Arabidopsis thaliana: one gene and its partner. The protein of the gene in region 1 interacts with the protein of each later gene in a pairwise test. Each region holds a gene or a part of one and is shown in the gene's direction. Other genes may lie near its edges. The genes, in order: AT5G25570 and AT1G64590.

Region 1 (7,086 bases):
TTTCTTAACCCAAAGAAACAATCAAAATTCGAAGTATGTGGAAACATTTCCTTTATAAGAAACCCACACGCATTTTTTTTTACTTATATAAATCTCCTCACCTGCAAGAGAAAAAAAAAACTTTCATTTTATTCGTCGTCAGTTTCATCTTGTTGCTTCGGAGCGAGCGAGAATTATCGTCGGAGAATTTATCGTCTCTCTCTCTGAAAATTCTGATCGGTGAAGAATCGTCGGATCGAAAGTTCGTTTATCTTCTCGTTTACGTTTCCGTGATTTAAATCCTTTGGGGTTTTTTTTTCTTGGTAATGTCTGTGTTTCTGAATGTGTGGTTGATTTTTGTTCGTACACTTTACTTTGATCGATTAGGTTTATGTATAGTTAATTGAAATTTTTTGGAAGATTTCAGAAGAAGAAGAGAAGAAACAATCCGTAATCTAGACCCTTGAATTGACCTAATAATAGGATACATATGATGACTATGAAGCAGTCTTTGAGTGGCAGGGTTCTTAGGGGGGTCTTTGGTATCTATCTGTAGGAGGGCTTTTAGGTGCTGTTTCGGGAGATTAAAGCCAGATTCAAGGTGAGTCTGAGAGCTTGGTTCTTGTATCTTCTTGTTTACCAATGGGAATCTAGGTCACTGAGAAACCATCCTTCTTGTTGATCTAGTGGAAAAAATCGATTATTTTTCTATCCCAAGTAGTTGCTTTTTCTTTCTTAACCTTAACTTGTGCAATCTTCATTCTACCTAAGCATTTCCCCTTGATAATGAAACTCTTTAATCATCTCTGATTTGGCCAAGAGTGTTCTTTTTTTTTGTCATCTCATCTATGGTGGATTAACAGAGGTTCCTCTTAGTTATTCTTCAAGAAGGCGGCATGAATGCTCACTTTGTTTGTAGTCTGCTTATCTCAGCTATGGTCTCCATAGTGAGTTTCCCTTAGAGCATATCTCGTTGTTGTCCATGATGAAGTTTTTGCTCCATGCGGATCTTGTGAACTTGCTAGTAGAATTTTTCCGGGTAACGGCATCAGAAGATTTTTATTCCTTCGATTATGGGGTTACCATTTAGGTCAAGCCAAAACAGGTCAGCTTTAAAGATGGGGGTCCATTAACTAGGAGTACCCTTCAAGCCTTTGTTTCCTTAAAGAAATTTCTGATTCGTATGTTGACTGAAGAGATCTGGTGCAAAGTGGCAGTGGGAGGTAGGTCTATCCTCTTTGGACACTTACCCATCTCTTTAAAACCCGGTTATCCCAAGTTTTATGTCAGTCCCAAACCTTGTTTGATGGTGTTTGCCTTGCTTTTACGATAGGTTGGTCATATCCGGTTGAAACTGGATAGATTTCCCAAGATTGAAGGACTGAAGTGAACACTCAATGTGCTAAGCTTTTATTTCTCTATGAAAGCTCCATCAACCAAGAGGGCTGTTTTTAGTTGTTTAACAGGGTATTTGTAGATCTTCTTGTTTTGGTGATTGTTCCTCTTGGAGAAAGCTGATTGGAGCTGTTTCAAAAATGGATTGTCTTGGTGTGGTGCAATGTAGATGGAAGCAACAGTTCATCGAGTTTTTTTGCTGGATTTTCAGGTGACTGATAATGTTTGCGAAATGAGGAATAGATTTTCTAAATATTTTCTTACTTGCAGGTTTCATAAGCTTTCCATCAACTAGCAGTATCTGCCAATATCACAGACAGATAATTCGTAATGGGAGACGTATATTTCAACCATTTCGCTCAGCAACTGCAGATGTCTGACCAAGAGAAGGGTGAAATGTCAAGACATTCACACCCTCATTCAATCAATGAAGAATCTGAGTCGTCAACTCTGGAAAGGGTAGCAGCAGAGTCATTAACAAACAAAGTCCTTGATAGAGGACTAATGGAGTATGGGTAGGTTTTACTCCCTATTTGTATATTCTTAGCTTTGAGCTTGTTTCTTGGATGAATACCCCTATGTTCTTGCAGATGTCCACATTACAGAAGAAGGTGTTGCATTAGAGCTCCTTGCTGTAATGAGATCTTTGGTTGCCATCACTGTCATTATGAGGCGAAGGTAGAGGCTTTTTTCAAGTTATAGATTTCAGGAAACTACTTTTTGTAACCGCTGTTTTCACAAAATCTGTATACTTACTCTTGCAATCATGTCTTTGGAGCAGAACAACATAAATGTAGATCAGAAGCAGAGGCATGATATTCCTCGCCACCAAGTTGAACAGGTAAAGTAGTCTATATATCTTGGTTTCTCGGAGTTATTATTTTATGTTCAATTCCCAGTTGACAAGACCTCTATCTTCTTCTTCACAGGTTATTTGTTTACTTTGTGGTACTGAACAAGAGGTATGTTTTAACTCTTACACTTTCTCTGGATTTTTTCTGCGTTTAGTAATCAGACATTTTCTTAACTTTGTTGGAGATGTAACTCTGTATTTTCTCTGGTACCAGGTGGGCCAAATTTGTATCCACTGTGGAGTGTGCATGGGGAAGTACTTCTGTAAAGTCTGCAAGCTCTACGATGATGATGTAAGTCTCTGAGGAGAACTTATTGCTAAGCTTGTTTGTTGTATCCATATCCTTTTTCTTATGCTATATACCATGCCCTGAGTTTTCCAGGCTTTTTTTTGTTGTTAATGGTTAACCATTATGTTGCTTATCTTGTTTCCAGACGTCTAAAAAACAGTACCACTGCGATGGGTGTGGAATTTGCAGGTACATTCTTGGACTTCTCTTTAACATACAACATGTTTGATTTAATCCACACGATATATATTTGTTCATAACTAAAATCTCTTTTTCGTTTCAGAATCGGAGGACGTGAAAATTTCTTTCACTGTTACAAGTGTGGTAAGCCATTTACTGCATCAGATTTCAGATAACCTCAAATTTTCCGATTGGGCACCGCTATATTTGTTGATTTTTACAATCTAACCAGCTCTCTGATTCTCAAACCAGGCTGTTGTTATTCAATCCTCCTCAAGAACGGTCACCCTTGTGTCGAAGGAGCAATGCATCACGACTGCCCCATTTGCTTTGAGGTATTACTTATTGTTGGTTTTTGTTCTACTTCTCCACTGTAAACATGAGCGTCCCTTTGTTAACAAAAACTGTCCTGGCTGGTTTTCTTCCAGTTTCTGTTTGAATCACGGAACGATGTGACGGTTTTACCATGTGGACACACAATTCATCAGAAGTGCTTGGAGGAAATGAGAGATCATTACCAGTAAGTACATTATAAAATTCAGGGGCTTGTGTTCCATTTTGAAATGTTGTTGTATATATCAACTGACAACTCCAAACTATGCCTGCAGATATGCGTGCCCACTTTGCTCAAAATCTGTATGCGACATGTCAAAAGTGTGGGAGAAGTTTGACATGGAGATTGCGGCTACACCAATGCCAGAACCATACCAGAACAGAATGGTCAGTATGAGAACAAAACTTACTTAGTTACACCTTATCCCCTAACCAAGAACTAAAAGTCTTTTTGACGGTGACAAAAACAGGTTCAGATTCTCTGCAACGACTGTGGGAAGAAAGCAGAGGTACAGTACCATGTGGTGGCTCAGAAATGCCCAAACTGCAAATCATACAACACTCGCCAAACCAGAGGCTGAAGCTTTTTTTGAAGTTGATTTGCTATCAAATGCAATTAAGAGCTTTTCACTTGATCCAATAGTGTCATTGGATCCTTAACTTGAGGACTGGGTCTCTCGAGTCTATCTCTTCTCACTCTCTTCTTCAATATTCTCTGAGTCGTCTCTTGTTCACTAGTCTATATGTTTCCTTGGTGTTGTTTGATGGTCTGGTTAGTTTCCATTGTGATTCATCTCCTTTGTAATTCTGCGGCTTTATTGAAAAGTTTCGTTTAATCTGTTAAAAACCCTAAAAAATTTGAACTTGTATGAATAAAAAATTTTAGCTGCTCGCATATATTAATAGGTTTAGAGACTCTTATTAAAGGCCAAAAGCACACGTCTCAAAAATATATCCGTTTCCTCGCTTAGATACGAAACCTCTCTCTTTTTGAAATCTCTCTGACTCTCTCTCGGCGATAATGGCGGAATCACCATCGCAGAGTGATGCACAGCTTGTTGCTCATCAATCTCCTGGTCAGCAAGCTGATTCGGATCTGACGTCTCTCGTCTTCGGTTTGTTTTTTCCTCCTTTTCCTCTGATCCTTGTTCATCCAATTTCGAATTTCGACTGACCTAGAAATCAGGATTAAGCGTGAGTTCTTCATGTTTGTGAAGTCAAATGCTCTTATGATTTGGTATTTAACGAGATTTGTGCTTACTTAATGGCTTAATCGCTTCATCTAATCTTGATTTCGCTTAAAAAACTGTGGAATCGAGATGTGTATTAGAATCCGCCATTGTTCGTTGCTTCTCTCGCAAATAGATCTGTAGGTGATACTTAGAGTGAAAGATGTGCATTTTCGTTGGTTTTATCAATTTTGGTATCTCAGAGTTGCTATATTTTGTCATCCAGATTCTGTATACTCTCTATACACTCTTCTTTAACCTTTTGGCTTATGCAAATTGAATTAGTAAACCTTGTTAAACGTTTCATGGATTAGATCACCAGTGGGTGGATTGAGATTACAAGTCAATGTTGTGTCTATTTCGCGAATTCTGTATGCTCTCGATACACTATCCTTTAACTCTTTGGCTTGTTCAATTGCATATTAGCAAACACCATAACTCGTTTTAAAGGTTTATCATTATATGTTTCATGGATTAGAATCAGTTGATGGATTGAGACTACAAGTCAGTGTTGTGTGTCTACTTCTTTAGCCATCTCCTGACTGTGTTGAAAACAAACGCAATTGCAGAAATGTCACAGCAAGTTCAGATGGGGATGGAGAATATGCTCAAGATGGTTTAGTAAGTATTGTTTATCTTCTGTTTACTACAACGAATGACTATTTCTGCTGAGTGCTGATCCAGTGCCTTCCCTGCAGTGAAATCGATCAAAACTCGGTTGGAATCAAGGAAGAGATTGAGAAATCAAAGGATTTTGCTATGGAGAAGAAAAGGATCCTCGAGGAAGAGAAAGACCAGTTTCAGAAAGCTGCTTACACTATTCTAGACATGCTAAGCAACAGCCGAGGCTAAATCCAAGTACTCGATTTTAAACCTCTTCACAGCTTCACTTAAACAATGAAACTGCTAAATTCATTATTACCTGATCCACTTCCTCATGTATCAGGTGATGCTCATGAAGAAACTATATCAGGTAAAGGAAATATTAGAAATGTCAACAAAGACTCTCACTGGTTTGGTTTTGGATCCACATATATAAGGTCGTATTAGCTTTACATTGCTATTACTGAAACTTTTATCACAAAGTGTGAATCCAGTATGCAGTATATATTCGTATTCAAGTGAAAAACTCGTAAAAACAGATAACAAATGGAATAAGTATCTGCTCAACTTGTCAGAATTATGTAGTATATGATAGAATTTCTTTGGGCCGTAAGTTTAGTATAAGGAATCAATTATGTGTTCAAGTCGTGTCCAACTAGAGCAAAAAGAAATAAAAGCCGAATTACTAATTTTTCCAGAATAAAGGGACTAAAATAGAAATATAAGAAAATACAAGGAAGAACAAAAAGGGAAATTAATAGCCCTAGGGTGTTGTAGGGTAAATTAGTAAATAGTAAAATCATTTCCTCTTTTGGCGGGAGAATTCCCCCAGAAAAATTCTCCAATTTTATACATTTTCCACTCCCACAAAAACCCATTCATCTTCCACTTTCTCTCTCCGACGAAAATGGTAACGCTCCGCCAGAGGACGATGGTGGTCACCGGAGAACCGGAACAGAAGAAGGAAGAAGAACGACTCTGCGAAGACTTAACGATTCTTTCCTCCGATTCAGACAACGATTCTTCCTCCGATTCGGCGGTGAAGCACTTGCGTGGACGTTGGGAACTTGCTTCGGTTCTCAATTTCTTCAATGTAATGAACCTCTTAGTCGTACATACCAAAGGATTCGATTTTGCCTTTTTCAGATGAATCTTCGTTGTAAACGGAATATTCTTTCTTTCTCTCTCTCATGTAGTAGATTCTAGGGATTTGTTAGAGCTTTTGCTTCTTGCATGCTTCAATTTCATGGGAAATTAAACATTTTGCATCGTTGGTCATGTGATTTTGCTAAAGAGTTTTTTGTTGTTGTGAATTGTGATAGGTCTTTGGACCACTTGTCTCGGAGAAATTGAAGTTCACAGCTGAAGAAATTGAGATGGGTCTTATCGAGTCCAACACTACAAATGCTCAGCTTCACATTGCACTTTTGAAGGTTTTTGATTTTTGTTCTGTTATTGACCTTGCAGCTGTTAATGGTATCTAACAAGCTCAAGTTTATGTGTTTGTTGCCTTATAAGAAACCTTCTGGATGTGAATTTTTCAACAGGGGATACCACCGGTGAATAAAACGCTTGACGATGCAAATGCATGGATCACGGTGTTGTGTAAGAAACTAGCTCCATGGTGGCCATGGGTAAGGCCACACTGAACTCTTTTGTTAGCTTATATCTTCTCTGTGGTTTTCTTTATTGACTCCTGTAATGTCATTGTTGCAGATTGCTAAGGGTGAAATTCATATTACTGTTAACAAAGGGTAAGTGGTGAAATAATGTGAATTTATTCAGGTTGAGTTGGTATTGATAACAACTTTCTTCTCTTCTGATGTATGAATAGGGAGGAAATATCTGAATACCAAGGACTTGACTCTATTAACCGCCTGAAGATTTTGAAGGCACTTTGTGAGCTTCGAGTTCAAGTAATTTTCTTCTCTTCATTTAAGTTGTTGAAGTGTATTTTTAATGCATGCCTCTTTGGTTACACATATGGAAAGAAAAAACTATATCATTACTAGTTGCATTTGTTACTCATCGTCTTGTTTCCATTGGTGGATGGTGTAGCAAGATGATGCACGTTCGTATATTCAAGAAAATACCAAGGAAGGAGACTGGGATTCTAGTTTACGCAAGAGGAAGCTAGGAGGAGATGGAAAGAAGACTTCTTATTGGTAGTTACACTTACTTGTCCTATCACTTCTTTCTATGTTACTACATCTGGTGTGAATGTG
Region 2 (7,086 bases), on another chromosome or scaffold:
TTGAAAATGTTTGACGCCTTCCGTATAACTTCTCCATCCAAAGCAATGTGTGGTCTTCTTGTGGAACAGGGGTTTAGTCTCTTCATTATACACTAACCTACTCTTTTACCCGAAATATATATACTTATGTAGGAGTGTATACACGTACATACCAATGTAGTGAATTAGGATGAGAGAAAGAAGAGTCTTAATCACGAGGCTCTCTCCAACAGAGCAGCATGACGAGGCATCGCCTTATTATGTATAATCTCGATCTCGTCTCCTTCAAGGACCGATTTGGAGTCAGCTTGTTGTTGTTGTTCTTCGCTTGCCTATGCAAATCCTTGTTTGACCCCATCAACTTCACAATCATCTTATGTGCCCATCAAAAGCCAACTTTTCTTTCCCCCTTTATAATAAGTTGGTTCAGGGTATGTTTTCTCTGAGTCATTAAGATGAATGTGAAACAAGAGACTCAGGCAAAGACTTCAACTAAGGATTTGATTGGTATTGTGCATTTCAGGGGTTTTTCTGTTTTGTCGTGCTGCATATTACTACTCTATTAGGATCAGTCTCTTCAAACCAACCGTCCAGAGTAACTGTCTTCTGCAAAACACAACCGTTACTTTACTCATTTTTCTGTCTCTCCTCAAAATGACAAACTTCCATCAATTGTCAGTTGTTTCACCTTACACTTGTCCGTTGATTTTTAATTATAACTCTGCATTTTTTTCTTACTACCTCAAGTCAATATAATACCCTGGTTTTAGGCATGCATGCCTTGGAAAATGAATCATAAACTCGTAAAAATTTTGGCCCTCACTTTCTTGTCTTTCTCTAATATATTATTTATTACTATTAGTTTGCGTAGAAATCTTGATCACTTGAAATTCATAATTAATTTAGGCGTTAAAGATCTTCGATAATGGTTCAAGTATAATTTTCTTTGAAAATTTTTGAAGGTTGAATCTGACTAGGTATTTAACACGGAGACGTTTCATGTAAATCCATAGCTCATGAATCTCGTGGCTGTGCTTTGATCAACGAAACTCGTGCTTACTTATTTTAATGTGATTAATATTATTATAAATTAAAACCAAGATACGATCTTGTATTAAGACGTAAGGGATCTACACTTATACATCACACTATCAAAAATTCAAAAACGTATCGATTAAAGAAATCATTTTTTAAAACTTTATAGGATATATCGCCCGCCACAAGTTATTCAAGTCTAATATATAGTCAACGTGTAAAACCACAAAGTTACAAACTTACAATAACATTCACTCGACCCGGTTGGATTTCTCTATATTTTTTTTTATGTATTGTTGTAACAAGAAGACCAATACATGTTGTTGTGATCTATCAAGAGGATTTACCAAGTAGGCAAGTAAGTAACCAATGTTTCCAACAATTTTTCGTTCAAACCACAAAATCATAGAAATAGTCCTTAAGATTGACTGATTTGAGTATGTATCTTGCTAATTCAGCTTGTGATATAGTAGCATAAGGAACGGGCGTTAATTATACCAACTTAAGCAAAAAAAAAAAGTATATTTATATGTAGATTCTTTTTATATAAAAAATAGCGTCGGTCAACAAATATTAGAATCTAACCATTCATGGAAGAAAAGAGTATGAAACTGATTACAAAAGAGAGAATCAGGTAGCCACTCACAAAAATCCCAGACTGTATGGACCATAATAGCTTGAATATATGTAATAGTTCTCCAAAAGGCTACCAATAAAACTAATAAAATGATTGGTTAATAACAAGATAAAAATGGTAGCAATAGTGGCATGCCAAATAGAAAAAGGATGTGACCAACTCTCTCTTGGCAAGTTGGTGTCCAATTACACAACCTAACCCGTTTTATACATAAAGCAAAGATTCCAACATTGTCAAGGTCGTTCCAATTCCAAAGGTGGAGGAGTCTCTTTTCTTATTCCCATTAATCAAAAAGTTGTATATAATGTATATTCAACGTCTCTCACCCAACGATCATATTTTTTTTTAGTGTGGGATCCTTGGAAGAGACAACGCCTCCCAAGGTGGAGGAGTTTATTTATTCAAAACACTTCATCAATTTTGAGTTTATCTCTACGTCTCTTGTATCATTCATATTATATCCTGCAAAATTTGCTTAATTATTGATTCTTGGAGGTTGGACCACCTTTTTCTTTAATAGAGAGAAAAAAGAAATGAATTTTCGATCCATAAATCTTTCAAAATTTAAGACCAATCATTGAAAATATTTATGATAGATTCACAAAATGTAGATCATTGAAAATATGTATAATAGATTCACAAAACGTAAATCATTGTTTTGTAGACGAAACGTGGTCTCTATATAGTGAAATGATAGCAACTTTTCTCTCTTTTTTTCATGAGATGATTTTTTTTTCATATAAATACATTTGAATATGTATTCCATAACCTAATGTATCTTTGCAAATTCTTCTACAATTAAAGGACATGATGCAAATTAAATAATCTGATAACTTACTAATTATATTCAATTTCTCTGTAAAGTAATATTCTATCTTGATGAGAAAACTTCAAGATTATCCTTATATTGAATTTGACGTAAGATGATTTATAATTATGAGGAAAATTTTTAATACTAATTAGATGGATCATTCTGGACCTGCAAATAGGACACATGTATATAGAGTTGAAACATATTATAAATAAAAATAAAAATAGAAATTAGTGGAATTGTTAGTGGGTAGTAGTTGGATTTGGGTAAGATTACTTTATGATGAATTTCATATTGAGGCTTGAAGATCTTCTTCTCATCCATTGACGGATTGGATCCTCCAAGAACAGAGAGACCAATTAGCTTACTCTATTGTGCCATTCTCCACCGTATCTTTTGCTTCAACCACTTACAATTTTACAAAGGAAAATTAACTACAAGACAATTTACCTAAAGGTGGAATTTAAGAATATTCTGAAAATATCACTTTAACTACGTGTTTGATGTATGAATCATATACAAATGATATATTATAAGAGGCTTTAAAAAAGGATCAAGTCTTTGTTATATTCCTTCGTTTAGAGTATAAGCGGTCCTAAATGCACTTGTAGCATTCATAACAATTATTGTAGCGCGGTATACAAGTATTACAGTTATTTACATACAAATAACTGTAAACGCTCTATGGAGTTGAGAAACTTGTATGTAATAAGACCATCATCCCTACAGTTGGGTTTATACATTTTGTAAATGAAAATTGGATACATCTTAGGTCCATGTAGATAAACCTGCACTTTTCAATAGAGTGTGTGACTAGGTCTGGGAGATAGAGTTTCCTTCACTTCTTATGATGATTATAAAAGTATAGGAGGGGGACCATATTTAAAATGTAAAGATTCGGAGGATAATACCATTAGAAAGTTGGACATCATTAGTAAATAGTGAGTGTTACCCAAAACAAGGCACTATCTATGCATTGTTTCTGCTTTTATATTACAGTTTTTCTTTATATATTTTGGACGATTATGGTTTGTATTCACATAAATTTCAATTATAATTTTGCTATATGATTCATCTTCCTCTATCATTCCTCTTAGTCAAATAGAGTTGGCTAACTAAACCTTTTATTTTAATCAAATTACTCCGTTTTAACTTGTTTTGGTGCCAATCAAAACCAAATTTTATACACTAATTATTTTTACTCGTTTTTTTTTACAAAAACATTAAGAATGATACAACATAAAAAAATGTTGTCTCCCTTTATCCGCATTTGTTCCTCAAAGATGTAGCACTATAAATAGTCTCATCACCCTAAGACCAAAACCCCAACACTCAAACTCAACTGCTCTCCCATAACCGAAACCGAGAGAAAATATAGAAAAAGATGATTGAGACGGTTAAACACCTGATCGGCTCCGGTGGTCCCAGCGGATTCGGGTCAAGATCCACCGCCGATCATGTCACTTGTAATTCTGATCTCCGTTCTCTAACTGCCATCATCACTGGTTAGTCATAAACTTAAAGTTACTTCTTCTTTTTCAACTTAACCGAGTCGCAAAATGAGTTTCCTAACTAATAGTCTCTCTGTTTCTTTTCTACTAGGCGCGACGTCGGGGATAGGAGCTGAGACGGCGCGTGTTCTTGCTAAGCGTGGCGCAAGACTTGTGCTTCCGGCTAGAAGCGTCAAAACCGCCGAGGAAACAAAGGCTCGTATACTGTCGGAGTTTCCTGATGCGGAGATCATCGTTATGCATCTTGATCTCAGCTCACTTACCTCTGTTCGTCGATTCGTGGACGATTTCGAATCTCTCAATCTCCCACTCAACATCCTCATGTAATTTAAACTCTATCTTCATAATCATATAGCGAAAATGTTTTTATCTGATTTTTTCTAACCTTTTGTAAACTTTTTTGGTTTGTGTTTGTAACAGAAACAATGCTGGGAAATATGCGCATAAGCATGCCCTCTCTGAGGACGGTGTGGAGATGACCTTCGCTACTAATTATCTCGGTAATTAAGTTTTCATAAATCCATCATTGACTTATAATATATCATTCATTGATTTATATGTTCTCTAATAGTAATTCATGGTGTGTTTAGGCCATTTTCTGCTGACTAAACTGCTGTTAAAGAAGATGATTGAAACGGCGGCACAAACCGGCGTGCAAGGCCGTATCGTCAACGTCACGTCCGTCGTCCATAGCTGGTTTTCCGGTGATATGTTGCAATATCTCGCCGATATCTCACGAAACAATAGGTAATTTTTAATTAGTATAAGCTAGAAAATATCATTCCAATCATATAGCGAATAATTAATCATTGTTTAATAATAAGTACAACAAAAAGGTGATGCGACGACAAAAATAAACGCCGTCGTCCTCTCGTCTTTTTCCTTTATTTAAAATCATATTTTCAGAGAGAATAATAATAGTTTATACTTTGTGACTTGAGTTTGACCCACTAATTATAGCTTTAACTTTGCGTTTTACAGAAATTACGACGCGACTCGAGCCTACGCTCTCTCCAAGCTCGCCAACGTGCTCCACACTGTTGAGCTATCACGGCTTCTCCATGTACGTTATTATACAAATTTAACTATTTGGTAGGAAGTAACAATTTATCTCCTCATTTCTAATAATAAACTACAATATATATGCAGAAAATGGATGCGAATGTGACGGCCAATTGTGTTCATCCTGGTATCGTGAAAACCCGTCTCACAAGAGATCGAGAAGGCGTCGTCACTGATTTAGTGTTTTTCTTGACATCCAAGCTATTGAAGTCTGTTCCTCAGGCAGCAGCTACGACATGTTACGTGGCAACAAGTCCAAGATTGAGGAACGTGTGTGGCAAGTACTTCTCCGACTGCAACGAAGCTAGGTCATCTAAATCCGGGTCATGCAATCTCAAAGCTCAGAGACTCTGGACTGCTTCTGACTTGTTGGTTTCTCCACCTAATTCCACTACCAATCTTTCTCATACCTCCTTTTAACCAACAAACCATCCTAGCTATTTTCTACGTGTAAATCTTAAGCCCTATATATAGTAATATAATTAGCTTTATAATATATATAGTTATAGAAATATATACTATAGATGAAATGGGATGTGTGTGTGTAGTTGTGTTACGTGTGCATATAGCAAGCCTCCCTATATTTAATATGTGGTTATGGTTTGACATTATTGCTAATATATATATATATATATATTACTTAGCTTGTAGGGTTTTGTAATCCTAGCTAGCTAGGTCCTTGTTATGTAATATATACATATATCAATCAAAAACATCACAGAATTTCATAATCTTGATCTTGATACTCTTATAAAAATTTGTTTATTTCTGTTGATCACTGAAATGAAATCATATCCATCCACACAATCCAAATATGGTTCCTTTGCAATATTAGCAACCACTCTTCAAATGGGCCAATAATGCTAGTCACTGCTATAATAAAGGGCTTTTAGGCCCATTAAATAATCATTTGGTCTTTCAAAGGCCCATCACGCTAAGCCCTAGACCCTCCTCCAAAGAATGAAATGAAATCCTATCCACAAGCCTAATTTGGTTCCTTTTCAAAATACATACCAAATTTCGATTTGTCAACAACTCGTCAAATGGATCTCGAATAATCACTAATCACTGCTATAATAAAGGCCTCATTAGGCCCATTATAGAAACATTTGGCTCTTTGAAAGGCCCATAACGCTAAGCCCTAGACCCTCCTCGGAGGCTAAAACCTCTCGGCTCCTCCTGCAACTTCCATTTCAGTTCAAGCTCCGGCTGAAAATGGCGAATGCCCAGAAAGTCTTCACTGTAGAAACCCTAAGATCTGCATCGAAACAGTGTCTCCGCTGCCTAGTCGTCCCCGTCCGTCTCCGCCGCGCTATTAAGAAATATCTCCGCGAGGAAGATGATCCTCACATTAGGAAGAAGGTGCGTCAGTTATCGGAATCATTCCAAGAGATCAAGGACACCAATCTTCAGTTACCTGAAACCACGGCCAAGAGTCTGGCTGATTCTATGAACTCGCTAGAGACCAAACGATGGAAGATACAAACCGTTTATGGAGATAGCGGTCTCCAATACAGAGACGGTGAGACTGCTGCTTACATTGCTTCTCGTATGCCTGCCGTCTTTTCCGTCTGCTATAGAGTCCTCATCGAGGTACTTTCTCATTGGTGATACCATTTGGGATAGTTGTGTAGAGAATTGAGCTTGAGATTTGTTAAATTCTTATATAGATTCGTCGAAGAGTACCAGGTTTTACGCCTACAAGAGTGCTGGATTTTGGTGCTGGCACTGGTTCAGGTTTCTGGTGAGGAGATAGATGTTTCCCTGTTATCTTTGGTAGTTTTATTTTGATTATTGATTCGTTGTAACATCTTGCAGGGCGGTTAAAGAGGTTTGGCCTAAGTCTGTGGAGAAAGTAAATATAGTGGAACCATCTCAATCAATGCAGCGTGCAGGACGTAACTTAATCCAGGGTAATTTCACTTTGATAGTCTCTGGCTAAACACTTGAGTGTAGTGATTGATTCTGATCTTTGCCATTGTTGTGAATATGATAGGCCTTAAGGATTTGCCTCTGATCCATGGGTATACTAGCCTGCTAGCTCTTAATAA

What was found.
Region 2: the proteins of AT5G25570 (region 1) and AT1G64590 interact in a two-hybrid assay, tested with the Arabidopsis thaliana proteins (one large-scale study listed by BioGRID).

Annotation. Positions count from the first base shown.
Region 1 is NC_003076.8:8,897,782-8,904,867, forward strand, and holds AT5G25570 (polyamine-modulated factor 1-binding protein), read left to right. Parts: upstream 1-3,973; 5' UTR 3,974-4,050; coding exon 4,051-4,144; intron 4,145-4,208; coding exon 4,209-4,266; intron 4,267-4,789; coding exon 4,790-4,879; intron 4,880-4,956; coding exon 4,957-5,110; 3' UTR 5,111-5,116; exon of another isoform or gene 5,117-5,204; 3' UTR 5,205-5,435; downstream 5,436-7,086. Other genes in the region: AT5G25560 (CHY-type/CTCHY-type/RING-type Zinc finger protein), read left to right, coding at 1,705-1,889, 1,965-2,052, 2,156-2,215, 2,274-2,336, 2,442-2,519, 2,662-2,705, 2,800-2,840, 2,949-3,031 and 3 more; AT5G25580 (uncharacterized protein), read left to right, coding at 5,769-5,954, 6,184-6,294, 6,409-6,495, 6,578-6,615, 6,696-6,777, 6,920-7,026.
Region 2 is NC_003070.9:23,989,746-23,996,831, forward strand, and holds AT1G64590 (NAD(P)-binding Rossmann-fold superfamily protein), read left to right. Parts: upstream 1-3,731; 5' UTR 3,732-3,846; coding exon 3,847-3,967; intron 3,968-4,064; coding exon 4,065-4,296; intron 4,297-4,393; coding exon 4,394-4,473; intron 4,474-4,563; coding exon 4,564-4,720; intron 4,721-4,954; coding exon 4,955-5,036; intron 5,037-5,122; coding exon 5,123-5,455; 3' UTR 5,456-5,764; downstream 5,765-7,086. Other genes in the region: RTFL22 (ROTUNDIFOLIA like 22), read right to left, coding at 188-352; AT1G64600 (copper ion binding / methyltransferase), read left to right, coding at 6,251-6,628, 6,706-6,779, 6,854-6,948, 7,032-7,086.